Lonchura striata: one gene and its partners. The protein of the gene in region 3 purifies or fractionates together with the protein of the main gene of each other region. This does not show direct contact. Links are inferred from orthologs where the notes say so. Each region holds a gene or a part of one and is shown on either strand. Other genes may lie near its edges. The genes, in order: TCP11L2, HAX1, tubulin alpha-1A chain and DNAJB6.

What was found.
Region 1: the proteins of tubulin alpha-1A chain (region 3) and TCP11L2 purify together in Homo sapiens (affinity purification with mass spectrometry; 3 studies listed by BioGRID and IntAct, counting the BioPlex papers as one, with this or other methods). This does not show direct contact. The link is inferred for Lonchura striata from reciprocal best matches to the Homo sapiens genes TUBA1A and TCP11L2.
Region 2: the proteins of tubulin alpha-1A chain (region 3) and HAX1 purify together in Homo sapiens (affinity purification with mass spectrometry; 3 studies listed by BioGRID and IntAct, with this or other methods). This does not show direct contact. The link is inferred for Lonchura striata from reciprocal best matches to the Homo sapiens genes TUBA1A and HAX1.
Region 4: the proteins of tubulin alpha-1A chain (region 3) and DNAJB6 purify together in Homo sapiens (pull-down; 3 studies listed by BioGRID and IntAct, with this or other methods). This does not show direct contact. The link is inferred for Lonchura striata from reciprocal best matches to the Homo sapiens genes TUBA1A and DNAJB6.

The regions. Positions count from the first base shown.
Region 1 is NC_134607.1:20,691,771-20,699,236, forward strand, and holds the start of TCP11L2 (T-complex protein 11-like protein 2), read left to right. Parts: upstream 1-4,465; 5' UTR 4,466-4,768; exon of another isoform or gene 4,769-4,862; intron 4,863-4,883; exon of another isoform or gene 4,884-4,963; intron 4,964-7,466. UniProt on the Homo sapiens protein: Promotes the migration of muscle-derived satellite cells (MDSCs) during differentiation throught interaction with FMNL2 and therefore may participate in microfilament assembly.
Region 2 is NC_134635.1:1,009,153-1,015,544, forward strand, and holds HAX1 (HCLS1-associated protein X-1), read right to left. Parts: upstream 2,325-6,392; 5' UTR 2,235-2,324; coding exon 2,182-2,234; intron 2,035-2,181; coding exon 1,826-2,034; intron 1,746-1,825; coding exon 1,615-1,745; intron 1,495-1,614; coding exon 1,449-1,494; intron 1,333-1,448; coding exon 1,217-1,332; intron 1,123-1,216; coding exon 972-1,122; intron 899-971; coding exon 780-898; 3' UTR 740-779; intron 652-739; 3' UTR 517-651; downstream 1-516. Other genes in the region: UBAP2L (ubiquitin-associated protein 2-like), read right to left, coding at 4,520-4,615, 5,091-5,141, 5,600-5,797, 6,090-6,157. UniProt on the Homo sapiens protein: Recruits the Arp2/3 complex to the cell cortex and regulates reorganization of the cortical actin cytoskeleton via its interaction with KCNC3 and the Arp2/3 complex. Slows down the rate of inactivation of KCNC3 channels. Promotes GNA13-mediated cell migration.
Region 3 is NC_134629.1:5,996,870-6,004,782, reverse strand, and holds the start of tubulin alpha-1A chain, read right to left. Parts: upstream 3,007-7,913; 5' UTR 2,888-3,006; coding exon 2,885-2,887; intron 1,578-2,884; coding exon 1,355-1,577; intron 1,273-1,354; coding exon 1,124-1,272; intron 516-1,123; coding exon 1-515. UniProt on the Homo sapiens protein: Tubulin is the major constituent of microtubules, a cylinder consisting of laterally associated linear protofilaments composed of alpha- and beta-tubulin heterodimers.
Region 4 is NC_134603.1:148,335,709-148,342,657, reverse strand, and holds the start of DNAJB6 (dnaJ homolog subfamily B member 6), read left to right. Parts: upstream 1-3,941; 5' UTR 3,942-4,053; intron 4,054-5,146; exon of another isoform or gene 5,147-5,394; intron 5,395-6,949. UniProt on the Homo sapiens protein: Has a stimulatory effect on the ATPase activity of HSP70 in a dose-dependent and time-dependent manner and hence acts as a co-chaperone of HSP70. Plays an indispensable role in the organization of KRT8/KRT18 filaments.

The DNA of each region.
Region 1 (7,466 bases), on a different chromosome or scaffold from region 3:
AGCCTCTCCGCTCCGGCCACGCTTCTTTGCTTCCCCACGCCGACTCGAGCCTGCTGCCTTCATCTTCCCCGCGGAGCGAGTCCCGGCGCAGGACAGGAAAGGAAAGGAAAGGCTGAGCAGGCCTTCCCCTGTGCCACGGGCTCCAGCTGGAGCTCGAGGCTCTGAATGTATCTATTTCTCTATTTGATTACAGCAAGAAATTAAATCGGATTTTGTCTTGGAAAATGTTTTCTTTTCTTGGTCTTTGATTACCGTATATTCTTCCTTTACATCTGTATATATATATATATATACACAGGTTTTTAAAAATTATGTTGAGTATTATGTAGAAACAGTTACTCATAAAGTCAGCTTGATCACAGCCCCTGATGTCAGCCTGTCAAATACAGTTCCACCTCTGCCAAGGCTTAGGATGAACTGAACTGTTTAGTCTATACATGATGTTCTAGTAACTACTAGAATGGGTGGTAAGAGGAGAATTTATACTGAATTGTCTCAGGCATTTTGTTAGCACAATTCTGTTAAATGCACAAATCTGAAAGGATCTTGGTGTGACTGCAGGTTATGAGCACAACAGAAGTTACTGCCCTGACTCTAACAAGTAACAGAGAGCTTGCATAGGGTAAGGAGATTGTCTTAAATATTTCCTAGAGGTGGCTGAAGCTGGCATGAGGAGGCATGCACTAAAGCAGTGAGGGACCCTCAGAATAGTCTGTCTTCCTCAATACAATGACAGTAAAAATCTTCAGCAGCAAACAAAGCACCCTAGGAAAGTTACAACAGCAGTTTTCACCATGAACATCTAGCCACAGCCTTAGTTGTCTCACACTTTATGAGAAGGGGATATCAGATTTCTATTTAGGAAGGGCCTAGAAAGGCTAGGATTTTTAGCAGTACCCTAAGACCCAGGATTTTAGCTCTGAAGCCATTTATTTCAGAGTTTACTATAAGAACTGAGCCATATGGACTTCACCAGAGAGAATAATCACGAGGATCATCAATGCTAAGTATCAAGGGATGTAAATCTGTTTCAGGGAGCAAGGTAGTATAGGTAGCTCACTATTTCTCCTTTTCTCACTTGGTACTGACAAGGAAAATGTTAGCAATGTACTATCTAAAGATTTTTCTCACCATAGAACCAATTCAAGCTATTTTTGACCAAGAGTACTATTCTACAAATAGCTTTTTGTTGTATTTGACACTGTGGGTCAAACTCTTATTTCCTTTGTACAGAAAGACCAATTGCTGTGATGAGGGGAGTATGCATTAAGAATTTGCTGAGTTGGTAAAGTTGGTAGACACTGAAGACTGGTGTGGTTGGGGAAGTTACTGATGTACCATTTTCTCTCAGAAGTGTCAATATTCTGCTTTGCCTTTGAACTTGAAAACAAATAGTTCAGTGGGGAGAAGTAGCAACCCTGTTTGCCTCTCACAAGACTTATTTATCTTTGGAATACAGGAAACTCCACAGAAGAACAAGCCAAGAAAGAATCCTTACACCTGCCTTGTAGTCTTTCTGTCTTGACGTTGAGCCTATTATCAAATCTGGGCCTGATGATCTCAGTCAACCCAGAGTCTTAACATCCATCTGTTAGCACTAAAGCCAATCTGCCTGGCTCAGTTATTAGGATTAGGGAAAAATGTCTTGTGACTTTAAATTATGTTCTCAACTTAGTTGTCATGGGCCCTGGCATAAACCATAGAATGCCTTGCCCTTTCCCTCTCCTCCCACGCTAACCATTGAGTTAGCCACATATTGGGACATTTCTGACATCTTATCCACTCAGTAGCTGCCTTGCTGTTTGCTGGATAAAGCAGAGCATTAATTATAGGCTTTACTATCTTTGCCAGTTTTACTGGTAGCAGTAAGGAAGGTTATGAGCCAACTTGCTGCAAACAGTGAGCACAAACTAGTCCTTAATTTCAATTAACAGTGTTTCTGTAGTGAAAGGCTAAGAGTTAAAGTTAACTTGAGACATTAGTCAAAATTCCAAATATGTACCTCTGTGTGGTTTAACTCACCCAGGAAATAAGCACCACAGTTTCTCTCTCTCACCCCACATGTCCCCAGTGGGATGAGGGAGAGAATCAGAAGGGTAAAAGTGAGAAAACTTGCGAGTTGAGATAAAATAAGTTTAATAATTTAAAAAAATTAAATTGTAATAAAAATGAAAATAACAAAGGGGTAAATAAAATACAAGAAAGACAAGTGAAGCAAATTAAAACAATTTCTCACCAGCAAGTGGTTGATGGCCAGCCAGTCCCCCAGCTGTGCTCCTGCACCAACATTCCCACAGTTTTATTGCTGACCATAATGCCTTATGGTATGGAATATCCCCTGGGTCAGTGGGGTCAGCTGTCCTGGCTGTGTCCTCTCCCAACTTCTTGTGCACCTTCCTCCTGGCTGCTGAGGTGGGGTGAGAGGAAGAAAAGGCTTTGACTCAGTGTAAGCACTGGTTACTAGTAACTAAAGCATCCAAAACACAGCCCCTTGCCAATTATGAGGAAGAAAATTGACTCTATCCCAGCCAAATCCAGGACATACATGCATGTGCTATATAAGACACAAGGACATTGATCTTGTTAATTGAGTAGAACAAATTTAAAGGCTGTACAATTATTTTTCTGGCTGACATTGGGGACACCAGAAAGTGAGAAAAGAGTGTAATTTCTCTGTGGAGAAAATCTCTCCAATGGGTAATCTACTTCAAAATCCATATAGTGGCCTATAGCTTCAGTGCCTCTGGATCAGGAAAGAATTGAAACCAAAAAGAAGGGGAAGTGCTGAGTACTGCAGTGTCTAACTTATTCTTGGCTTTTGGACCAGAATCTCAAAGCATGTCCTTGATGCCCCAGTTATATATGACAGATGTACATCTCTGATATGGTTGGTAGATAGATAGATAGATAGATAGATAGATAGATAGATAGATAGATGATAGAGCAAGCTATGCACTTAAGAATGGGCTCCAAAACGGCTGGTGGGCTTGTGAGAGAAGAATACTACTATAGCTGAAAAAAAAATTGTTTTAAAGCCATCCCTCTCTGGAATCCTATCTCTCACTCCATGATTTAGGTGGAGATACTTTTAGGCTGAAATGCTTTCCCCCCTGAAGTTATCTTTTATATCAGTATTTAGAAGCTACCTCACTTGGTGAGGCTGATCCCTTTCCCTCTCTGTGCAAGCTAGAAACCAGGCCACTGAGCAGCACAGGTTTCCACGAGTGCCAGTCCACAGAGACACAAAATGGACCCTGAGTCACTGGCCCTGATGTTTTTGCAAGTACTCTTTATGCAGTTTTAGCTGGTTAATTGATAAAAGATGTCAGTAGCCATCACAGCAAAAACTCATGTTTTCCCCATATTTCAGATGGTGTCTAAGAAAAAATTGACATATAAAATAATAACAAATTATGTCCTTGGAAGTCGTAACAGGTCTGTACAAAGCAGCCCATCTTTATACCACCACAGTCTTCTCCAAAGCCCTTTTGAGCCTCTTTCAGACTGTCATTGCCATGTGACATGCACAAAGTGGGGCAAAGTAGTGCAAATACAGTTACTTAAAACATTGTCTTCTTTATAGAAGCTGCCGGATTAGGCTGTTGGACTTAATCCCATTTAATGTCTCTGAAGGCCAGGCTGACAGGTGCTCTGCATCGCTGCGAGCAAGCGCTCCCTCTCCAGCTGGGCACTTGGCACTTGCGTAGCCAAACTCTGTTCCCTGCTTGGAGCCCTTGATTTTATAGCAGAGGTTAATGGGACCTACAGTGGGCTTTGGTCTACCCGAATACAACATCCGTTCTGTGTAGTTCACCACGTTTGCTAAAGGTTATCTGCAGGAAGGGGAGCTCTGTCTTCGTGATGGGCAAGGCTGGCGTTAGTGAGCTCTTGCCTCAGAGGTGACTGCCGGTGTTTTGCCCTCCGTGCTTCCTGCTGGGTGAGGCAGTGGTGGCACGTAGCTCCTGTGACAGGAAGAGGTGATGACCCTGACAGGTACTGCTGGCCCGGTGGGTGCGTGAAGCTGCCAGTGCGTGAGGTCAATACAGCAATAAGCAAAGCATTTCTAATGACAGTGCTGCACTGCCCCGAGCTGCGTTCCTCAGTGGGGGCTCAGCAGGCGTCCGGACACCGCAGCGAGCCGGGTGACTAACCTCAGCACGGCGCCCAGTGGCTCCCCTGAAGCTGCGGCGGCGGGGGGCACTGGGGAGCCAAGATGGCGCGTGGAGGGGCGCCTGGCTATCCCACATCGATAGGGTAAGGAAACCAGGGCAAGAACATTGTTAAAGGCGTGCACGCACAGCCTGAGGCGCTGCCCTATCCCCTGGGGGGCACAGCCCCTTTCCCCCAAGGCCGGGCTGTGCGGGGTCGGTGTGCCCGTCCCCGAGCCGGCCCGGGGGCGGAGCCGGCCCGGGTGGACGGGGCCCTTCCGTAAACAGCACCCGGCCCGCCCCCGGCCTACCCCCGTGCGCCAGCACAGCCCATTGCCAGCACGGGGGAGTCCGCCCGAGCATCTGGCCGTGTCGCCGCATATTTCTCCACGCTTAGTGTCGGTCGCAGGCAGAATGAGGAGATGCGGGCAGATTCTACTGGCATAAGTGGAGGCTGGCCCAAGCGCCTCGGATAACTCGCCGATGGCAGGCAGGAAAAGATGACGCGCCTCCCCCCTTCCGCCGTCAGAGATGGACGTGCCCGAGGAAGACACTAAATAGTCCGGGCTGGGTCTTTAAATCGGAGGGGGGGTCCCGTGCGGCCCCGGCGAGCGGCAGCGGTGAGTGACCGGCGGGGGACGGCGGGGCAGGACGGCGAGGGGCAGCGGTGAGTGACCGGCGGGGGACGGCGGGGCAGGACGGCGAGGGGCAGCGGTGAGTGACCGGCGGGGGACAGCGGGGCAGGGCTGCTCCGGCCGGCCGGCGGAGCTGACACGCGGCGGGGTGTCCGGACACGCTGGGCGATGAGTCGCGGGGTGAGTCCGGGACAGCGCTGGCTCGGGGGCTGCCACCCTCCTGTGCGGTGTGGGTGGCAGGGAGGTGGTGGACTGGCCCGTCGCCCTGCTGCCCCGGTGGGGCACCCGCTGCAGCAGGTGGGTTTCGCAGTCCCTGCGCTGGGCCCGTAGTTCTCCCCTTGCCCCGCGTTTCCTGGGCTTTCCCATCCCTTGGTGTCCGCCGGGACGACCCGCCCCGACGGGCGCAGCCGCAGGGTCCCCCCGTGCAGCCCCGGCCGGCAGGGCTGGGGCACCCCGAGCCCTCCCCGGGCCGTGGGTGCCCGGGCTCGCCTTCTCGGGGGCTGACACGGAGTGTTCCCTCCTTGCTTCTCCCCCGGACTCCCTCCCCCCGGGCCCCTCCTTGGAAACGCTGTTTGTTTTGGTCGGCGGGTGCCAAACTCCTGCCTTTGCTAAGTGTTAAAAACATGGGGCCGGGGGAGGAGACAGGCAGCGAAACAGATGGAGGAAGAGGAGGAGCCGCCGGCTCCCCTCGGTGTCGCTGTCCCCGCGGGGAGGGCAGCGGGCAGGACCGGCCCGGGCTCCCCGTGCATCACCGACCTGTCCGGGCAGCGCTCGGGCCCCTCGGCCGCATCTCACTCTCGCCGAAACAGTTTTTTTAAGCCTTCACGAAAAGAAGTGTCTGTTCCGAGAGTTGTGGAACTGGAAAGCTAAAGGGGAGAAATGTCGGCTGTAAGCTGTGAAAAATGAAGCGGGTGGAAATGCGAGTAACTCCTAACAAAGGCTCTTTTCTGTTCTCGTGTCGTGAGTGCTGACAGAGGTGGAGTCAGTGAAAGGGAAACTCGAGACCAAATGAGATTCAGTCGGTGCCAGCTTGAAGATAGTAAGAATGTGAACCCAGCAGAATAAATAAAGTTAAGACCTTCATAGTGGCAAAACTGGACAGAGCACTCATAAGTCTCTGTGTCCATGCACACTTCCTTTGAACAAAGCAGGGCTGTGGAAAACCTGTGTTTGAAGATGGTATCTGAAGAAAATACCCAGCAAACTGTGAAACTCTTCCTCCCTCCTCCCCCGAGATGCTTTGTAAAATTATTTCCAAAGCGAACCGACAGAAATAAAAAGTGTGTTTGTGCCTTCTAAAACTAACCTGATTTGCAGTCTTGATAAGTTTTAAATGAAGAATCGAGTTGGGTAATGCAGTAACCAGTTAAGGACAAGATGTCTTTAAGCATCTACAGTTATGTTTTAATTTTCTTTTTACTAAAAAAGAATAATCCTCACCTGTCTAAATAGCAGAAATGTGCGAATTTATTTCTTCATTGTTACATTAGCTAGAATCTTTGGGTTGGTACACGTAGAAGATACTTTTAGCTTGGTCTTCCAAAGAGTTTATCCTTAAAAATCCCTACAGTATGGTACTGATTGAAAGAAAGCAAATAGTGTGATGAAGCCCACTGTGATGGTGTCCAACCTAATATAAATGTAAATGTGAGTGGTCTTTAATGCAACTGAGTAAATCAGGTTGTAACCTCAGGCTTACTCTTTAATAGAACAGTTGGGATATTAATATATGTATTAAAATAACAGCCTAATATGTAATAATTAATAAGCATTAAAAAAAAATAAACAAGATGGTATTCTTTATCCAAGATGGCGAGTTACAAAGAGATCTTGCAAGGCTGAAGAGCTTTTTAAAATATTTTTCTGTGGCCATTATACTAATTTAAACTTAAAGTTCTAAATTAACTTGGTCATTTGTTATTAATGAGAACTTCTGTGCTATCTACAAAAATGTAAGGAAAATCAGTTCTTCCAGTGTATGCTATAAAGCAAAGACTAAGTGACTCAGTTGTCTATTGTAACTAATTAGAAATGTCATTTTTGGTTTGTGCTTACCTTTCATATGCTCAATGACTTATTTTTGCTTAAGCGTCTTAGGTGGCCCCTGCAGGTTCTGCTTGTATATTCATGTACATTTATTTTGATGTATTTATCTTTTAAACTTAGAATTTAGCAATAATGTTCTGAATCTTCAGAGTACACCCATTCTTACTTCCCATTGTGCTTGAAGCATTCTACTAGGAAATGTATTTATTGTGGTAAAAGATTGCAGTGGTTTTTTGCGTGTCACCTCCTGTTGCAGTGTTTAAATACTTACTTAAGCCTTCTGAAGCACTCTACTGACATCTCTGCTGTCTGTATGTGTGCATATATTGTGGGAGCAGGTATGGTCTTGATACATCAAAATGCCATGTGCATCTTTGAAATGCAGCTGATTATTTGCACTGATCGTTTGCTGGGATTAGTGCTTAAGGACTTAATTTGTACAGACTTCTAATTCTACCTTAACCACTTGATCTTCTTGGAAATCAAGATGGGGTGGAAAATGGCAGTGCTGACTTGCCTTCATGGCTGCTTTTAGTGCTTCTCTCAGAAGAACCTTTCAAAGCTGAATATTTATTAACATTGTCATACCTAGAGGTAAGAGGAAGTTCGTGAAATGATGATGTGGAAATATGTGAGC
Region 2 (6,392 bases), on a different chromosome or scaffold from region 3:
CCCACAGCCAGGTGGGTGATTATGTGCAGACTTTAAACCAATCATGGCTGCACCACGGGAGCCGCCTGGCAGGGACCAGAGTCCTGTGTGTGGCCGGGGACACCTTGTGACAGTGCTGCACCCCAGAAGGGCAAGGCCGGGTAGGAACACCCTGATCCCCAAGTGGCTGTGGGGAGCCAAGACCTCACTCAGGTGAGCAGGCACAGGTATTTCATGGCCAGGAGCCCCCTTTATTCCTGCCACATCCCTGCCTGAGCCACAGCTGCAGTCAACACTAATAAAGAAGTCCTGGAAAGGCCTCCAGGCTGGGCCAGGCCCTCAAAAGTGGCCCAGGGGAGACATTAGCACAGCATCAGGCAGGGAAATGGGAGAGGGAGGTAAGAAGGGAGCAGTGCAGGCACAGGAACCCAGCAATCACCTGCACACCTGAGGCACCCCCCCACTCATCCTGGTGGACAGGGGGAATCTGCCTCCAAACGCATGAGATGCCAGTCTGAAGGAGCAGGAAAGTCACCGTTTAGCATAAATAGACTTTATTGCTCTGTACACACATACACTTAACCCCCCACAGGGCTCCCTGTGGCTCTGCAGCACTGCAGAAGGTGGACAGCCTCCAGCCCAGGCACCACTTTCCAGCAAGATCTGACCCATCTACAACAAAAATCGGTGGTGAGAAAAGGCTGCTGCCCACTGCCTGCTCTGACAGACCTGGCAAGCCCAGGGTCCCCCCAGCCCGCACCTGTCACACACAGGGGCTGCTCAATCAGGCCTGGGCACAGCTACCAGCTCGAGAACCAGCGTCGGAAGAATCTGCCCAGCACAGATGAGGGGTCGCTCGGGTTGGCAGCACGAAGCTCTTCTTGCTGCGGCCATGTGCCAGCGAACTGTGCCAGCTCCCCTGCGAGGGCAGGGAGAGCTCCCTCAGCGGGGCCCCTGTCCACTCTTTGCATCCTCCCCAGACCCCCACTCACGGTCATCCATGTTGACCACCTCCTCCCGGTAGTCCTTCTGCTGCCCATCCTCCTTGGTGGTGGTGATGAAGGCCTGGTCCCCCCTCCGGCGCGTCACCGTTGTCTCCCGGCGGCCCTGGCTGTCCTGCACGGTACGGCGCTCCTCCACCCCCTGTGCAGAGCACCGAGCCCTGAGAGACTCCCCAGCCACGGGGACGGTGTCCCCAGGTCCCCCACAGCCCTGCTGCGCCTGCAGGGACACTCACCCCATCAGGGAGAGTCACTGTGGTGACAGAGACGCTCTGGAAATAAGAGTGGGACTTGGGTTCGCTGGGTCTCAGGATGGTCCCCAGCCCAGCGGAGGAGATCTGGGAGTCCAGGTCTGGGGGAAGATGCAAGATGGGGGCCGCAGCATGGGGACATGCCCCCGGGGCTGTGGCAGCACAGGTGGGTGGAGCAGGGAGGGCAGAGCCCTCAGCCCCTGCTGCCAGCACCCACCTTGGTCTTCCTTGAGGCCAGGAGGAGCCCGGTGAGCATCTTCCAGCTGCAAGACAAAGCCACGGAGCACTGAGGCCAAGCACGACACTAAGGCAGCACTACAGCAGCACAGAGCTGGCTACCGCTGCAGAGCCTGCGGGAGGCAGAACCCAGAGCCCTCACCCACCCCTAAGAAGGGTCTCCATGGCCGGGGACTCCCCGGGGCCGCGCCGGCGGGGGGACTCTCCGGGTGCTTCAGCATCGAGTCCCGCAGCGGTCGCCTTGCGCTGCCTTCAGCGGGGCCAGGCAGGGCGGGCTCTGGGCAGCACAGGGGCGTCGGTCAGGCCGAGGGGCTCCGAGCGGCCCCAAGAAGCTCGCTCAGCCCTTCCCGTACCCACCGAAAGGCTGCTGGGGCTCGGCCCAGAAGCCCCCAAAGACGCCCAGGAGCTCGCCCATGTCCCGGAACAGCTCCTCGAAGGCGCCGCGGGAGGAGCCAGGGCTGAATCCGAAGCCGAAGTCCTGGGGGGGCTGCGACATGGACGGGCCGCCATCGTCCTCCTCCTCCTCCTCGTCCCACGCCGCGCCGCCGAACAGCGGGTCCCGGGGTCTGCGGGACCGCGGCAGTGAGACACCGGAGAGCCCGGAGCCAGCGGGGCAGGCCCGGGGCCGGTGGGGCAAGTGGCGGTTGAGAGACGGACAGGGTCTGTGTGGGCGAGGCCGGGGGCACCCAGGGGACGGGCGGAGTCCCGGTCACCTGCACGGTCCCGGAAACCCGAAGAAGCCGCGAAAGACGTCGTAGAAGCTCATCCCGCTCTGGGTCCCTGCGGGCCCCTCCGGGCCCCGCTCCCCCGTCCCGCCGCCGCGCCCGGGTCGCGCTGCCGCCAAGCGCTGCGGCCGTAAAGCGCCGCCGGGTGTCGCGCGGCGCTGCGGCAGCGCGGCCGTGCTGTGACGGGGACCGGAGCCCGGAGCGCGCCCGGTGCCCCGCGGCCCGGGCCGGTTCGCACGAGCTACCGGGAGTGAGGGCCCCGAGGCCTGGAGCGGCCCCGGGCCCGTTCGCACGAGCTACCGGGGAGTGAGGGCTGCCCAGCCCCGTTGGCACGAGCTACCGGGGAGTGTCCCGGGGCACCGGGGGCGGGTGCGGGCTGCAGGCCCGTGTGCTCCCGCCGCCGTTCTCCGCGCCCAGCGAGCCCCACGGGCCCAGCCCGGCCCGCGCAGGGCCCGAGGGCCCCGGCGGCGCCCCCAGCCCCTTACCTGGAGCTCGGGCACGGCTCCCAGCGGTCCCGCTGCCCTCCCCGGTGCCTGTGGGAGTCCAGGGCGTCCTTCTGGCTGCCCTGGGACCCTGGCAGGGGTCAGGAACCCCCTGGACAGAGCCCCCAGAGACACTGGCTGTGATCTCTGGCCATGGAAAAGTTTTCAATCTTACAGGATGAGTTACAAGCTCTGAGTGTTTGATATAAGCAATAATTAGTGTGGCATAGGTGCCAAAGTAGAATTTTAGGATTCTATATAAGGGGTTCAAAGGGGACAAGATAGAGGAAATTTGGTATGCCTTGTCTTCTTCTTCATGTCTTTCATGTTTTACTCTGGTATTGGCATTTTTCATTTGGTTTAGGCTGGGGACACACTGTCCAACATAGGTGACAGATATTGGCACGTTATTGTAAATCCAGCCCAGGGAGTTTCTGGTATTTAATGTTTGTCACATCCCACTGAGGGCAGAGCCCCACATGCTGCCCTGCAGGACAGAGCTGCGGCAGGGCAGCAGAACACGTTACAGATAAGCAAGAATAAACAACCTTGAAAACCAGCACAAATTACCACTTCTTCTTTGGCAGCGGGGCTGAAAGACAGAGGCTTTCTACAATCGGACTAATTTAAATACCACAGATTCCGTCATGTGCCCACCGTCCCAGGCTGCCCCATGACTGTGGGGAGGAGGGGCTAGGGAGAGCACCCCCCAACCCCCAAAGGGAGCAGCAGCAGCACCAGAGCAGTGGGGACAGCAGGCAGAGCTCAGCAGGAAGCAGTGTGGTCAGAGGGTGAGGGTCTGCCCAGTGCTGCAGCTGGGAAAAGGAAAAACCCACAAAATGAGGGGACAAAAACACCAGCAAGAAGCTGGGGAGGGGTGGGGGAAGCACTGCCCCCACCGCCCAGGGCCACCCACCCCCTGCACCAAAAATAGGGAACGAGGCTGAGAAGGTGGAAAAAATACACACATCACTTTGTGATCTTTATTCTCTTCAGTAAATCCCCGCTTGGGGCTGCAGCTGAAGGGATCAGGTAGAACTGAAAAATACAAGATCTGGACTGCATAGAAAAAAACCAACCAACCAAAAAAAAAAACAAAAAAAAAAAAAAACCCAAAAAACCAAACCAAACCCCACAAAACAGAAAAAAAAAAGGAAAAAAAAAAGAAAAAATCCCCAACCCAAAAGCAGAAGATACTTACAGCGTGCAAGCAGGGCAGGACCTGCACTCTGGGCCCATGAGGATGGAGGGACGCAGATGGAGAACATAAAATACCAGGGGGGACCCCTCGACGGGGTGGGGGAGAAATGAGAGAACTAGAGGACAGCATGGGGTTTTTGTTTTTATATACAAGACACATTTATCCATTAAATTTAGAACACGGTACAAAAAAAACACTTCAACTAATTAATCTTACAATGCTGCTCATATCAATTACTGGTCTTAATCCTAATAATAAGGGGGTTTGCTGTAGGCGACTCGCAGCTTCCACTCCTTTGGATCTGAGAGATTCTGGGGCAGCTGGATGGGAGAGGGGATAGAAAGGAGTAAAAACCAAAAAAGGCCCCTACGGCAAACGGTTCATATCTGAATGAGGAGAGAGAGAAAAAAAAAAAAAAAGGAAAAAAAAAAAGAAAAAAATACAAATTCTATATTACATACAACAGGAAAGTGGCTGAAGACAGACAACGCAGAGGTGCCTGCGGCCTGCCCTGCGGGGCCCTGCTGGGGCTGGGGGCCCGGGCGCTCCCCGCTGCAGGGCTCTCTCCTCCCTGGGATCCTTCCTCATCATCAGGGGCACTGGGATTCTCTTCCGGAAGCAAGTGGTGGCGAGGGGCCCGGCCTCAGTTGGCGCCCCAGCTGTAGCTGTTGTAGGCGGACTTGTTGGCCTGGGATTTCTGGGGGATGGAGCTGCCTTGGCTGCGCTGCCCGGAGCCGCTCTGCGGGAAAGGGCAGAAGGAGAAGCAGGTGGTGAGTGCAGGGGAAGCACCCCTGGCCTACTCTGCGGGGTCACACTGCCATGCCTGGGCCCCAGAGACGGCCCTGGCCAGGTGCTCTGGGCTACGGCTCCTCAGCAGCCGCCGATCCATCTCAGCCCAACTCGGCTCCCTGGCGCTGGGGCAGCCTCCAGCACACCTTGCAGCTGCACCTGCCGTACCCCAGCACCCGCCCTCGGCTCCACACCTTGCTCCAGGCCAGCAGCACACAGGGCTGTGGGCAGCAGGGAGAGAGGAGACAGGGAAGGGTCGGTGTGGGTTGTGTCTGCGCGCAAATGTATGTGTGTGCATCTACTGACTGAGGGCCTCTCCTCACCTCGCAGGGCCATGGGGGAGAAGGAAGGGGCTACGTGATCCTGGGGAGCCTTAGGGGCAGGGGCAGAGCCCACGGCAAATGCATTTTCAGAGAGTTCATTACCTGATCCTCCTGCTGGCGTTGGCAGCACAGTATCATCTGCAAATATGGAAGCTGTTGCAGTACCAGGATATGTAAAATAAAGGGACAAACTATGACAATAGAAATCCACGGTTAGACCTGAAAGCTCCTGCAGGGTCATGGCTATGGCGAGGAACCCCTTTGGTGCTGGTCTGCGGAGCTGCCCCTCTGAGGATGGGGGGGGTGGGGTGCCCCAGATGTGTCTGCATGAGGGGGCACTACCTGGCCCTATCTGGTGCAGGCTGGTAGCCAGGGGGTTGTGCTGAGTACCCACCCTGGCAGAGCACACCCCAGGCCTTCCTTCTCACCTCATCCTCTTACAGCCCTGTGTGTATGTGCAGGTCTGAGCATGTGCCTGTCACTGCATGTGTCCGCTGCAGAGCATGAGAGAGGGAGGCAGGGAGGGAGAGAGGGACCAGGGATGTAAAGGGGGAGCAAGAGCCCTAGGAGATAGCCCAGCAAGGGGCTGAGGTGCCAGGGGTATTGCTTACCTGCCCATCCTGCTGCAGGTGGTGGTGGAGGATCTGCGAGTGAGGCTGCTGATGCGGGGTCAGGATGTGCATGAAGGGGGTGGGGGGGTATGCCGCTGCTGTCGCAGGGTTGATGGGGCCGCCGCTGCCCAGCGCCGAAGGCAGGTTGAAGGAGGCTGCTGGGGTTCCAGTGTGAAATCCCTGCTTCTCGAAGGATTGCTAAGAAGGAGATGCCAACGGCAGAATAAGGGCGGGGAGTCAGGCTGGCACCGTGCTCCTCCCCATCTCTACCCATCACAAGCCCAGAGTCAGCCGGCAGTACAGAGAACGGATAGAGAGTATCTTCCTATGGCTCTTTCTGGGCTTGGATTTGCTGTAAGCTGGGAAAGGTCAAGCATTTCCCTTCTCCCTGGCTGGCTGATCCAAGTGGAAGAGACCTCATTGCCCAGAGAGGCTGTCTCAGAGCTTGGCTTCTCCTCCCCAGCGATGCAGGAAGCACAGAGACACTAACCTGAGTTTTGGAGTAGACAGAGCCCGAGATGTCTGGCACGCCTGTATTACTGGATGTCACGGATACTCCTGGGGAGAAGGGAGAGGTGGGTGTTAGGCAGCAGCCAGTGGGTCAGCAGGAGCTGCCTGCTGCTAACACCAGCAGTACCTGGTGGAGAGCTCCAGCAGTCAGAAAAGATCTACAGACAGACTGGCCTGGGCAGCCAGGCCAAGGCATGATCACATGCAAAGCACCCAATAAAAGTTATTTGGCGCTGGACACACTGTTTCAAAATTCCTCCAGAAACCAGCTGAAGGGCAGGCT
Region 3 (7,913 bases):
TCGAAGCAGGCGTTGGTGATCTCGGCCACCGAGAGCTGCTCGTGATAAGCCTTCTCAGCAGAGATGACCGGGGCGTAGGTGGCCAGAGGAAAGTGGATGCGGGGGTAGGGCACCAGGTTGGTCTGGAATTCCGTCAGGTCGACATTCAGGGCTCCATCAAAGCGCAGTGAGGCCGTGATGGAGGACACGATCTGGCCTATCAACCTGTTGAGGTTGGTGTAGGTGGGACGCTCGATGTCCAGGTTGCGGCGGCAGATGTCGTAGATGGCCTCGTTGTCCACCATGAAGGCGCAGTCGGAGTGCTCCAGGGTGGTGTGGGTGGTGAGGATGGAGTTGTAGGGCTCCACCACAGCCGTGGACACCTGTGGGGCCGGGTAGATGGAGAACTCCAGCTTGGACTTCTTGCCGTAGTCGACAGAGAGCCGCTCCATCAGCAGGGAGGTGAAGCCAGAGCCGGTGCCACCGCCAAAGCTGTGGAACACCAGGAAGCCCTGCAGCCCTGTGCACTGGTCAGCCTGCAAGGAGACACGAGGTGGGGAGGCATGTTTACTCCAGGCAGCAGAAGTTACTCCTTCCTCTTGATGGCCTCACAAGGATATTTGGGGGCTTTCCAGCAGCAGAGCCAGAGTCAGCAGGATGGGGACGGGGTGGCACCAACTCCATCTGTTACCCACTGACTCACGGTGTATCACCCAGGGAAGCTGCTTGGCCTTTGGGGTGAGACAGTGCTCAGGGGCACCTCAAAGTGCAGAATTGCCACCAGCTCAGCAGCAGAGTGGAGACAATTTTGACCATAAACTGTCACAGCCACATGACTCTGGAATGGACCGGCTTGGGGCTGCCCATCCCCAGCACACGCAGCTGGACTCGGCCACGTCAGGAGCCAAGTGGGAACAAAGAGGGAATTGCCGAGCTCAGCACCGGCAGCGCCCGGGGGCTGCGGCGCTGTGGAGCCGCTCCAGCTGCGCCGCGTCCCGCTGCCGGCCAATGGCAGCCACTGCACAACAGGATTAACATTAATTAATAAATTAAATCTAAACCCAACCCAGCGAGTCTGGAAGGGAGAGCGAGACAGAATGGGGGCTTTGTCCTCGCCTGCCACCTGCACCCCCAGTGCCCCTACCAGCTTGCGGATGCGGTCCAGGACCAGGTCGATGATCTCCTTCCCGATGGTGTAGTGCCCGCGGGCGTAGTTGTTGGCCGCATCCTCCTTGCCCGTGATCAGCTGCTCGGGGTGGAAGAGCTGCCGGTACGTCCCGGTGCGCACCTCGTCTGCGGGGACAGCCCCGGGCCCCGTTAGCGCCCGGCGCCCGCCGCCAGCGCCCGCCCCGCCGGCCGCCCCCCGCGCCCTCACCGATCACCGTGGGCTCCAGGTCCACGAACACGGCCCGGGGCACGTGCTTGCCGGCGCCCGTCTCGCTGAAGAAGGTGTTGAAGGAGTCGTCCCCCCCGCCGATGGTCTTGTCGCTGGGCATCTGCCCGTCGGGCTGGATGCCGTGCTCCAGGCAGTACAGCTCCCAGCAGGCATTGCCGATCTGCACGCCCGCTTGGCCCACGTGGATGGAGATGCACTCGCGCTGCGGGGGCACGCGGCACCGGGTCACCCCTTTTGTCCCCTCTGTCCCACCCCAGCACCCACCGGGCTGGCACCCAGCTGGGAAGGGTCCCTGCCCGAGCCTGGCTGGGGCCAGATCCTGCCCGGGCGCACCCATTGTTCAGGGTCTGGAGGTGCACCCAGTGCAGAGGGTCCCATCCTGTCATGTGCCCATCACTGCTGGCACCCTGCCTGTGGGGGATGGGGAGCTCAGGACGTGTGGCTCATCCTGCCCTGAGGGACTGGGACTGTGCCCAAGGTGAGACAGGGAGCCCCGGGGTTCCCATCCTGCCCCACCCTGCCCTGATGAGACCCAGCAAAGCCCCATCGTGGCTCAGCACCGTGGGCTCCTCCTGCCCACTCGAGCCCCAGTGGAAGCACGGCCACGCCCAGTGCGGGACTGGCGTGGGGTGGTGGGGTGGGGTCTCATCCTGCCGTGCCTCGACCTCTGGTGCGGGATGGGGTGCTCAGCACTGGGGTGCTCATTCCGCCCTGCCCACCCCGCACCGGGGACACTTTCTCCCGTATTATACCGGGGCCACGCCCTGCACAGGCTGAGGGCTCAGCACCGGGACGGGGGGAAAAGAGGGTCTCTCCTGCCTGGTTTAACGGGAGCCACGCCCCGGGACGGACGGTGGCTCGGTACTGAATTACGGGAGTCCGATTCTGCCCCTTTCAACCGGTGCCACGCCCTGTACGGGTTTAGCTCCGGGGACCCATCCTGGCCGGTTTAACGGGAGCCACGCCCTATGGTAGCTCAGTGCTGAGTCCCGGGGGTCTCATCCTGCCTGGTTTAACGGGAGCCACGCCCTATGGAAGCTTTGTGCTAAGTCCTGGAGGTCCCATCTTGCCCGGTTTAACGGGAGCCACGCCCGCTGTGGGCTCGGGGGTCGGTCCCGGGGGAGACAGAAAGACCCTTGCAGGCCCATTTAACCGGGCGTACACTCGGGGCTGGGTCCCGGGCGACACATTTTACTCGGTGTAACGGGAGCCACGCCCGGTGCGGGAGGAGTCCCGCGCCGAGGGCTCATCCCGGGAGGGGTGGACGAGAAGCCCTTGGGAATGGCGATCGGGAGGGGTTGGGGACCGGAGACACGCCGAGACGGGAGCCGGGGTTGGGGGGGGGATGAAAATCGGAGACTACGATGGGAGGGTGGGGATTGGGACCGGGGAAAACCACAGGTCCGGGGGCGGGAGGGATGGGGCCGGCGGGAATGCGGGATAAAGAGACCAAGGGAACAGGGACTGTGGGAATAGAGACGCGCCCCCGACCCCCCCGCACCCCCTCACCATGGCGGCGGTCGGTCCGGGGCGGTCTCACAGCCCGACGCTGAGGCGGTCGATGTAAGAGGCGCGGCGGAGCGCGGGGCTCGGTGCGGGGCTTTATAGCGGCGGCGGGGCGGAGCGAAGCGGGGCGGGCGGCGGGGCCGGGGGGGCGGCGGGGCCGGCGGCGGTGGCGGCCATTGGCGGCCCGGGATGAGGTAATGCCCCCCCGCAGCCGCAGACAAAGGCCGGGCGGTGCGGGAGGGGGGCCCGGGGGCTGCGGCGGCCACGGCCCGGCCCCGCCGCCGGAGGGGCCCCGGCTGTGTCCTTGGCACCGTCCCTGCCACGCCCCGGTCCCCGGTCTTGGCTGAGCCAGCGGTCACGCTCAGGTCTCCATCCCACGGTCCCCATCCCCCCACGGCCCCTTCCCCCCATGTCCCGCCGTTCTTCTCGTTCCCGTTCTCCTTCCTACTGCCCGTTATGGGTCTCTTGGTCCCGGGGCTGCCGGTACACGGGGTAGGACCAGGCCCTGGTCCCCATCCATGATGCAGCCTTCCCCCTTGTCTGGCCACTGCCCGTGCTCCCGGTTATCCCCGGCCACACCCTGGTCTCTGTCCGCAGCCATCCCGTTGTTCCCATCCCTTGTCACACTCTGGCCCCCATTTCCAGCCAGCCACGCCCTGGTCCCCGTCCCCAGGGGCATTGTTCTCATCCCTGTTCCCATCCCCAGGGACACTGTCCCCCTCCCTGGCCGTGCCACGGTGCCCTGGTTCTCAGCCACGTCCCTGCCATGGCTCCGCGCCTGTCCCGGCCCTTTCCCTGCCGTGCCCAGCCCTTCCAGCGCCTCTTTGTCTGCTCGGGCAGTGGGAACCAGCGCTGCGGGGCCCAGCCGAGGGACAAAGACTCATCCCCCCGGGCAGCTGGGGACGAGCAGGGAGCAGGGCCAGGGGGTGAGCAACAGCGGGAGGACACAGGGGACAAAAGCCCCCAGGGCAGTTTTGGGCAGGAGGCTCGGACAGCAGCAGCTGCTGGGCGGCAGCTGGTGGTTGGGACACAGCTGGGACAGTGGGACACGCGTCCCCTGGCCACCCCTCCATCTGCTGCAGCCCCTGCACAGCCCCCCCGAGCCACCAGCCCCACAACCCTGGGGTTTCATACTCCTGGGGGGGGGTTCCCCCTCCTGTTTGTTCTTGCAAAGCCCACAGAGGCTGGGGGTTGTCTCCCCAAGCCAGGAGTGCTGGGGGGCTCGGGCCCTGCAGAGTGACCCCACAACACATGCATGGCCCCAGCTGCTGCAGGTGGAGCTGCCAGGATGCCCCCCCTGCTGAGAAATCAGCTTTTTTCCCTGCTGTTTCCCACATTATGCAGATTTCTGGGCAGATTCAAGGTTCCCATGTCCCTGCTGCCAAACCAATGTCCCCAGCACCATCCCCATGTCCCCGCTGCCAGCCCCATGTCCCCGCTGCCAGCCCCATGCCCCTGCTGGTGCCCTGTTTCTGGGGCGCTGCTGGGGCTGCAAAGCTGCAGACAAAGAGGGGATGGGATTTGGGCATCGCCCACCAGAACAAAGGACCAGGTGGCCCTGGCTTTGCTGAGTAGAGAAAAACCAGGAGATTTGGCTCCCACCAGGCTGGTCCCGATGGCAGATAGCAGATAGACCCCAAAGCAGCTCAGCCCCTAGCCCTGACCCCACTGTAGGTCCATCCCTACATGGGAAATGCCTCCTGCCTTTGTTCTCCTGCCGTCCCAAGTGATCAGCACCAGCATGGAGCCTCTCAGGGTGTCCCCATTGTGTCCCCAAAGACAGAGATTTTGGGGGCTCACAGCAGCCCCCTGCCTCGGAGACCACTCTCCAAGCTAAGGAGGGACCCCCCCTCCCACCCTATTGCCCTGAGGGAGGTGCCCCATAGGGCAGGGGGCGGCCCAGCCCCGGTGGGTGATGTGGGGTGTAGGGTGAGGGGCACCGAGTGCCACAGCCCCACTGGTGCCCCCCCAGCCCCCTCCCATCTCCTTGGGTATGGACGACCACAAGTCCTGCACCGACTGCTGCCAGGCAACTGGTGGGGTTGCTAGGAGACCGGTTGCTAGGAGACAGGCTGGGGACCCCCCCCTCCCCCACATCCCCCTCCCCAACATCCATCCTGGGGCCTGGTGGGTGGGGGGGGTGCAGGCAGACAAGGCTGGGTTCTCACCACTGCCTCGTCTTATTGTCACAGTGGGGACACCATCCCCGGGACCCCCACTGCCTCACCCTGCTGGGCTGTGGGTGAGGCACCACCCTCGGGACCCCCGGTGCCTGACCCCGAGGGTGGGGCACCATCCTTGGGACCCCCAGTGCCTTACCCTGAGGGTGGGACACCACCCTCGGGACCCCCACTGCCTCACCCTGAGGGTGGGGTACCATCCTCGGGACCCCCAGTGCCTCACCCTGAGGGTGGGGTACCATCCTCGGGACCCCCAGTGCCTCACCCTGAGGGTGGGGTACCATCCTCGGGACCCCCAGTGCCTCACCCTGAGGGTGGGGTACCATCCTCGGGACCCCCAGTGCCTCACCCTGAGGGTGGGGTACCATCCTCGGGACCCCCAGTGCCTCACCCTGAGGGTGGGGTACCATCCTCGGGACCCCCAGTGCCTCACCCTGAGGGTGGGGTACCATCCTCGGGACCCCCACTGCCTCACCCTGAGGGTGGGGCACAGGACCCCCAGCGCCTGCTCACTCTGCTATGCCAAGTGGGGGGTACACAGGCCCTGGGGTCCCCCAGTGCCCACCCTACTGCACCCTGCCGTGGAGGTCAGCAGCCCTGTGGCCCCCCAGGATCCAGCCCTGCTGAGTGCCAGCGCGGGGTGGCTGGCACAGCTCCCAGCCTCCCCAGCTCCTGCACTCCCACTCGCCTGTGCTCTGTTGACTGTTGGTAGCAACGTGGTGGCTCCTGGTGACGGTTGCTGTCCTCCCCCCACCCTGTCCACCACCCCGGTGCCACTGGGTGCGACCGACCCTGCACCCTCCCGGGGTCCCTCCTGGCTGCACAGAGTCCCCATGGCTGTCCCCAGCCGGGCTGGGTGACTCGGGGGCTCCCAGAGCTGGCATCTCCTCCTGTGTGGGCTGATTTCCTGGCTGCTGGACTCGTGCCCGTGGCACAGCCGAGATTCCCAGCCTCCCCCAGTTTGGGCCCTTCCTGGGGATGACAAATTGGTGACCTCGAACCCCACGGCCGGGACATGCCATCCCCAGGGATCGAGGGGTCTCAGCCTCATCAGGGGCTGTGCTAGCTCGGGGCTGACAACCCAGACTCAGGCTGCTGCTATTTTTAGCCTGTTTTCCCGCAGAACCCAGCTCTGTCTGTCTGTCTGTCCATCCGCTGCCACCATCGATGTGACAGGTTCATTCAGATGGAGAGACAGGGCAGCTCGGGGGGCGGGGGGAGCCGCTCCTTTCCGGGGTGCCGGATGAGGCCGGGGTGTGGTGGAGGGTCCCCGCCGCCCCCCGGCTGGCCGAAGGTGGCCCTTAGGGGGTGGACCCGCGGAGGGGTGGCACCCACCCCTGACCGCGCCCCTGCCCCACCCGAAGGGCAGAGGGAAAACTCCTCCAACCCCAGTGTTTGAGGCAGCGGGTGGCCGCATTCCCCGTGGGAAGAGGCAGGGAGGTGTCACCGGTGTTCCCGCAGCCTCGGTGTCCCGGTGCCCCCTCCCGCCACCCCGCAACCCTTCCCGCCCCCTCCCGGAGCTACGACAAAAGGGAGACTGAGCCCCGGGATGGGGGGGGAGCACTGCGGGAGCAGGGGAGGGCGCGGGGGAGCAGCCGTGGGGTGCGGGGGGCTGCGGGCGCGCTGCCCGTGGGGAGGGGGCTGCGGCACCGCCTGCGTGCGGGGCGGTTCCGCAATGCGGCAAAGCCGGGAATAAAGGAGCGGGGCGGCGGAGGGGTGGGGGTGAGGTGGGAGAGACCCTGCTGTCGGAGGGGTCCGCCCTCGGCCCGGCCCCCCTAAAGCATCCCCTGGCCCCCAGCAGGGCCCCGGAACCAGCGGGGTGGTGTCTCGGGGGGCTCCGGTGGTATCGGGGGCTCAGGGGTGGGTGCTGCTGGGACAACGGGCACCCCGGCCCCGGGCGTGTGCCAGCACCGAGAATGTGCCCGGGGAGTGCGGGGACAGCGGGGGCTCAGGGAGGGGAGGGACACTGAGGTGCCCAGGCTGGGAAGGGTGCCCAGGGATTGACACCGGGGAGCGTGGGGTCTGTAATTCTGTCCCCATGCTGTCCCAAACCCCTCTCTGGCTTTTGGAACGTGACTCCTACCTTCAAACCAACCCAGAGCTGGGGAGGCAGGGTGGGACGGGGCACTGCACCCCGGGGGTGGGCGTGAGATGCTCCCCCGGCCCCGTCCGTCCTGCCCCACAGGACCTGCCCCGCGTGGGTTCTCCCGGGGAGCAGCCCCGGGGCTGGCAGGGAGCAGGGCGGCGGCGGTCACAGGAGCCGGCGCGACGGGAGCCCGCGGGGCTTCCCACGGGAACGGAACCGGGATGGGTACGGGGGTGCGGAGAGGGATTACTGGACCCCCGAGGCCTCCAACCCACGCGGGGCCGGGGCGCTCCCTGGGCAGATGCAACACCTAAGGATGGGGACAGGGGCTTCAGGGACACATCCAGCCGCCGACTGAGCCCACCGCCTCAATACCGCAAAGCCCCCCGCCTCTAAAGCCTCTCGTAGAGCCCCCTAAAGCCCCCCCACACCAGTGTTCCCCCGACCCTCTGCCCCTAATGCCTTCCGACCCTTCTGACCCCGCCAATGGCGCCTTGTCTGCCCGCCCAACACCCCCAACCCTCGGGACCCCCCAGCCCTCGGGACCCCCCAACCCTCGAGGTCCCCAACCCTCGGGACCCCCAACCTTCGGGGCCCCCAGCCCTTGGGACCCCAGCCCTCGGGACCCCCAGCCCTCGGGGCCCCCAACCCTCGGGACCCCAAACCCTCGGGAGCCCCAACCCTCGGGACCCCCAACCTTCGGGGCCCCCAACCCTCCGCCCCTCTTTCCCCGCCCATGGTCACGCCCATCTCCCACGAGAACCCG
Region 4 (6,949 bases), on a different chromosome or scaffold from region 3:
TAAGTACTTTCAAAAGCATTCTCTTAGCTCAGCTTTTTGCACACAAAGAGGAGTCCAGATAAACTTGCAGCCTCTAGATTACCTAAGACACACACACTACAGATGAAAACTGAGGTTGTGCTCAGCAGGAAAACACTGGAGAATGCAAGAGAAATTGGGTTATTTTGTGCTTTTAATGCTTCTACTGAAAGTTTTAAACTCTAGGTGTATTGCACATATTTCAAGTCTAATTGTTTCTGATAAACTATCAGGAAAAAGTTAATGCTTACATTTAATTAAGTGGCACTTTCCAGAATTACTTTGCCAGCAGTACTATAATTAGATGATATGAGAACAGTCTTTGATACATATGCTCATATTCTTTGTTAACACCAAAAATAGAATCTGTAAATCTGTAAATAGAAGAACGGGATGCATTACACAGCAGGGCAGAGCAGCAGGCTGGGAAGGCTACAGCCATTACCACCTCAGGAGGATTAACATTAATGTCTCTCTAATGCAGCATTTTTAAACATTTCTTGTGTTCTGATGGGCTTTATATAATTGACCTCCATAAATCATGAAAGATGGTTTAAAAAAAGCATCTGGGAACCCTGTGAATTGCCAATACCTCCTGGAACACTGCCACGTGATTTCCATCATTAGGTTATAGCTGCCAGTTAGGGCTGAATTCATCTCACTTAACTTCAGGCATCTGTGAGGTGGCATTTAGGGAGAAAAGGCAGCCCTGGGACAGAGCTCTGGTGGGTGGTTCCTTTCCTAAAACACATCTCCAAAGAGGGTGGAAGGAACTGAGCCCTGGATGTGTCCTCTCCTCCCCTCTCTTCACAGTCAATGGCCTTGAACTGGATGTTCGAGACAGCTGAATTTGGGTGAGATGACAAAACCTTTCTCTCATGTTCCCAGAGGAGAGTTGAAAATTCTTAAACAATTAAGATTCTTTGATAGCAGCTTTACTCTGACTCAATGACTTGGCACTTGGATATCAGCCTGGATCTCTGATACCAGCTTTAACAGACCCACAGACCCTCTTTTGTTATTGGAATGTTGATGCTCTGCCAGCAACTCCAGGCTTCTGCTGCAAGCAGCAAGCCATAAAAACACAGGACACTTTGACTTCATACTTTTGAAAATACCTTTGAAGGTGTTCTGAATCAAAAAGCTTTTCAGTTTTATTAGTCCTATACATAGAGCTAATTAAAAATGTTAATGAGCCAGTTATGCAATCCTTTTGGATTTCAATAAAACATTCAGTACTCTCTCTCCCAGGATCCTTGTGGACAAAATGTCCAGCACACAGCTGGATAAACACATCATGGGATGGGCGAGCGTTTGGCTCACGGGTCAGCACCAAGGGTTGCAGTGGATGGGGTGACAGCAGGCTGGTGTCCTGTCCCCACTGGGGTTCCACAGGGCCCAGCCTCAGCCCTGCGCTCCTCAACATCCTCATCAATGACTCGGATGGGATACTAACTAAGTTTGCCAAGGACACTAAACTGGGAGGAGTTGCTGACTCCCTTGAGGGAAGGGAGGCCCTGCAGAGACCCAGACAAATCAGAGGGCTGGGCAATCACCAACCATTTGAAGTTCAACCAGGGCAATCCTGGATGTGTGTGCTTCGGTATCCCCTGCAGTACCTCTTCTGGTGGGCTTTGCCACATGCTATTTTAATTGAAATCACCTGCCTTTCCCTGTAACAGAGAACAGAAAATTAAATATTGTGTGCCAATTTGAGCAAATGTTTAAAAAGTAAATAATTCTTGTTATTGTTCAGGAGATAATCTGAGCTATCAATGACCATAAGTTAAAAAAAAAGAGATCCCCTAATAAATTATATTTGTAATTGGTGGCTCTGTAAACTGCCTCTTCAGAGAAGTATTGGGAAATGTCTTCTTATCTTTTTCAAAGACAAGCATAAACCAATTAAATTTTTTTTATTTAAAAAATAATTATTTTGTTTTCATCTATAACTTTGTTAGGAAACATTTATTAACATTCTCAGTGTTTTGCTGTAGAAAATGCTAAACTACGCTGCCCTCAGCTATGAGCAGGCAATTTACCTTCTCATACCTTCCTTTCTCCAAATGCAAAATTGGTCTCTAAGCTTTCCCAAATGTTATTCCTGTATCTGAAGGATGCTAAAGCAGGGCTATGCTGTTTAGAGTCAGAACAGTGTTAGAAAATCGCTGGGCAGATTAATGTAATGATAACAAATTGTGTTAAAGAAGCCATGGTCCTGGTTGCATTGATGCAGGCAGTGTTTTGATTCCAACCCTCTAGTTCCATATGGAATCATGCTTCTTTGCCATGTTCTGCTTGCTTGGCTAAACAGAAAGTTTTATGGTTGGCATCCATCATATTTAACTGTAAATATAAAATCTGCTCTTATTAAAGCAAAGAGACTTCCTCGTGTGACTTTTGTCTTGTTTACTACAGCTCAGGTTTTAGTACTCTTCACTTTTTTTCTCCCCTGTAATTGGTAATGAAAGGCTGGAGAAAAACCATTATTTCAAGAACAAGAAATGTTTAAAGGATTAAATCAAAATTTTGTATGGTCTCCTCCCTCACCTCACAATACTGACCTGCCTTTGCATTTGCCAGGCTGTGAATCCTCTGAGGTCTGAACTTGGCCCATTAGGAAGAGCCAGTCTAACCCACTAATCCTTTGGGTGTTTTCTTTCCCAGTGGACCAACAACTTGGACTTCACAGCTACTTGCTGATGAGAAACTAATAATGGAGTGAGGTGTCTCTCTGCTCTAATTTTGAAGAATTGTTTCCACGACCACAACATAGCATCAACAATCAACAGTATTTCTTTTGAAGCTTGCATTTCCCCAAAGCACCAAGCCTGTACTTAGGGTTGTCCTACTACTTGTCCTGCTGATTTGTTTTAGGTTTTCCTCTTCCTTATTGCAAGCTGGCTTTTGTCTTTTTGAACTGACCCCACTCCCACACAAACACTTCCTAAATAATGCGTAGCCTTTTCATTGAATTTATTTTGGAAGCATACATTTTAGGCGTGGAAACTCTCTAACTTCATTTTGGTGAGCTATAAATTAATGCCTCCACTTTTTAAATTAGGGGCAAGAAATATAATTTTACAGCAATTTAAAGCATGGATAAAATCTATATTTTAGAATTAAAATAGTAACTTTGTTGCTTTATACTTTGCTCTCAACCATGGCACTCAGAAAACCACATACTTGAATATAACACAAAGGATGCTCCAATATATTCAGCCAGTGCAGGGCGCTACATGCATGGAGAGGAATCTGACCTCAAAGGAATTGTGTGCCAGAGTTACAATTTTTGAGACTCCAACTTTAAACACACAAAGGGGAAAAATTTTTGGTATCTCACCTTGAGCACCCAAACTCACCTATTCAAAGAATGTTTGTTAAAATTGTTGTTTTTTCACCTTTTCCTACAGCACCACACCCAGGCATCACTTTTTGCAATTCCCTCACAGAATCCCAGCAGGGGTCAGGCTGGAAGGGTGATCCCAGAGCCCGTGGCACAGGATTGTGTTTAGATGGCTCTGGAATACCCAGTGTGGGAGACTCCACAGCTCCTCTGGGCAGCCTGTTCCAGTGCACGGTCACTGCACACTAAAGAAGTTCTCCCTCACGTTCAGGTGGAAATTCCGTGCCTCAGTTTCTGCCCATTGCCTCATCTCCTCTTGCTGGAGCAGAGCCTTGTCCATGCTCTTGCCACCCCCAGTTTTTGAGAGTACAGACACAAAAGTGGAAGAATTTTTGCCATCTCACTTCTCAGCTATTCAAAGAAGGTTTCTTAACCTTTTTCTTTTTCTTTTTTGCCTGTTTTGCTGCACACCCGGCCCTCAGAAGCCCCGCCCCGGCGCCGCGGGCCGCCGGCAGGGGGCGCTCTCCGCTCGCACGGGAGCCCGGCGGGGCCGTTCCAGAAACTTCCGGAAGCGGCGGGGCGGAAGCGGCGGCGCGCGCTGGCGGCACTTCCTGTTTGCGGCCGCTGCCGTTGGTGCCGGCGGGAGCGGCGGGCGGGGAGCGGCGGCCGCGCTGCGGAGCCACCGGCGGGTGAGCGCGGGGACCTCGGCCCGGGGCTGCCCGGCCGCGGCCGTGCGGCGGGCGGAGGGCGGCGGGGAGCGGCCGCTTGGCCGGGCCGCGGTGCCGGGCAGCGGCGTGCCTGGTAGCGGGGCCTGCTGGCGGCGGTGGAGCGGCCGCGGGTGCCGCGGCGGCTCTGCTCGGCCTTGGCGGGGCTCGGGGGTCGCTGGGAGCTCGGGGAGGCAGCGGCTGGCCAGGGCTGCCCCCGGCGGGACAAACCCCGGGACGTTCGGTGCCAGCCCGCTCTGCCGCAAGGCAGAAAAAAAATTCCGGATTCCCATTCCTTGCTCACAGGGGTGTCAACTCCCAGGGGATGAGGGCGAGCCTCGTTTCGTTAAACACACCTTGTCCTTAAAGCGCTTTTTGTCGCAGGGTGCTGCCTGGGCGGCTTGCGAGCGTTGTGGCCTCCTTTTTTCTGCCAGTCCCTGAAAGGAGATGGCGATGAGCTGCGGGCCGTGCCTGCAGACAGAGAGAGGATCAGTGGAAATGGCCTTAAGATGAGACGGCGTGATTCAGATTAGATAGTGTAAAAAATAGTTCACATTTAGGGTGGCCAGCCATTGGAATAGGTTGCCTAGGGTGGTGGTGGAGTCGGCAGCTTTGGAAGTGTTCGGGAGCGGCTGGATGTGGCGCGGGGCGGGTTTGTGGTTAAGGGACGCAGTGGCGGTGTTGGGGGGTGTTTGCCCTGGGTGATCTCAGAGGCGGTGTTGGGGATGTTTGCCCTGGGTGATCTCGGTGGCGGTGTTGGGGGGTGTTTGCCCTGGATAATCTCAGAGGCGGTGTTGGGGGGTGTTTGCCCTGGATAATCTCAGTGGCGGTGTTGGGGGGTCTTTGCCCTGGGTGATCTCGGTGGCGGTGTTGGGGGGTGTTTGCCCTGGGTGATCTCAGTGGCGGTGTTGGGGGTGTTTGCCCTGGGTGATCTCAGTGGCGGTGTTGGGGGTGTTTGCCCTGGATAATCTCAGTGGCGGTGTTGGGGGTGTTTGCCCTGGGTGATCTCAGAGGCGGTGTTGGGGGGTGTTTGCCCTGGGTGATCTCGGTGGCGGTGTTGGGGGGTGTTTGCCCTGGGTGATCTCGGTGGCGGTGTTGGGGGTGTTTGCCCTGGGTGATCTCAGAGGCGTTTTCCACCCCTGGTGACCGTACGCCAAACGAGCTGTGATTCTCCCCCGATGGAAGCAGTTCGGTTTCGTTGCTCAGTGTTGATTACTCGGGGTGCCGGCAGGAGGGAGGTTTGTTGTGGGTGAGGTCGGCAGAGGTCGGGTGTTTTGAGCTCGCTGTTGCCAGGTTCCGAGCCGAGGTGAAAACTGATACTGCCAGGTAAGGAACACTGTTTGTCGTCAGTATTTGTTGCACTTCAGAGGGGACAGCAGGCTGGGTTTACCACTCGCGTTCCTGTTTGCACCAACGCTTTGTGTTGTGTTGCTGTCTGAGCTCTCCTTGGCTGCTGAAAACGTGCTGCGACCATGCTAACAAAGGTGTTAGAAATAATTCACAATACTGAACAAATCTGTTCTAAATTGTGGTAATAATAAACTACTTATTTAGGCACGGTAGCATGAAATCTGCGTTTACTATGTGCAAATAGTTAGACTTGTGTCATTGCATAGTCAGTGATCAAACCCAAGAGTTTTTAGAGTATAAAGTGTCAAAAAGTGATAAGAACAAGGTGCTGACATAAGGGACCACTGGGATGAAGCAAGGCTCTGCCTCTCTGGTCTTGCAGCAGAGGTTGCAGTCACTGCTGTCTGCTGACCTTAATTTTTGTTTACTCTTTGGAGATCCTTGTACTCCAGTTAGGGATTTTATGTTCAGCTGGTGATCAAGAGCCTAATAGTGAAAATACCATTTAGTTTGATGGATTATGTTGTCAAAGAAGATTTGTTTGGACCAATGAATAAGTGTATTTACAGATCTTGTCTGCGTGATTACTTTTTTTATTGCAAACAACCAGAATTTTAACTATTGCACAACACTAGTCTAACTTTGTGTACTCCCCTTGGCTCCTGTGCTGACTTCTCAGTGGAGAATAAGAGTGTTGAAAATAGAAGTTAAATTAGTGTTAAATTTTCTTAAATAATCTCTATTAGAGTAGAAATTTAAATTGCTGCTTTTATTGGCAGCACTGTTTAGACTACAATGCTACTAATAATGTAAACTAAATCTGTAAAGTGCAGAGTTCCCCTTGTTCTCCATCAGGCTTGTCTTTTTAGTACTTGTGCTTTCAAACTACAGCAGATTCTTATCCAGGCAGCTTCTCTCTCTGGTTATTTTCTCTGTCCTTCCCAGATCGATGCAGATTGCTAATTTATCTTGGCAGAGCTTGGGAAGAAGGCATGCAGGGCTTTACTTTTGTGTAACACTGAAGTTTTAGTTAGAGGCTAACGTGTTTTGGTACTGACTTTTTAAAAATAGATGAATAGATTTCTTTGCGAACTCTATTCTTTCTTTTATCCATTAGAAGTTTTGGAATGTATGCGAGGAGAGGGAATAATTTACGTTAAATCATCATCATCATTTTATGTAGGATATAGGCGTTCCTAACAGCGCACGAGAAACGACCACCAGGTTTTTGGTCTGTTGTGCGTCTGTGCCTCAACGCGCTCGTTGGCGCAGCGAGGTCTGCGAGCGGGGGCGGCGGGTGCGCTCTGCCCGCTCCGGAGCCCGGCACGGGCGGAAATGTCCGCGCCCCTGCGAGCCCGGGAGGGCACGGCCCGGCCCCTGCGAGCCCGGGAGGGCACGGCCCGGCCCCTGCGAGCCCGGGAGGGCACGGCCCGGCCCCTGCGAGCCCGGGAGGGCACAGCCCACCCTGCACAGCCCTGCGAGCCCGGGAGGGCACGGCCCGCCCTGCACTGCACAGCCCGCACTGCACTCA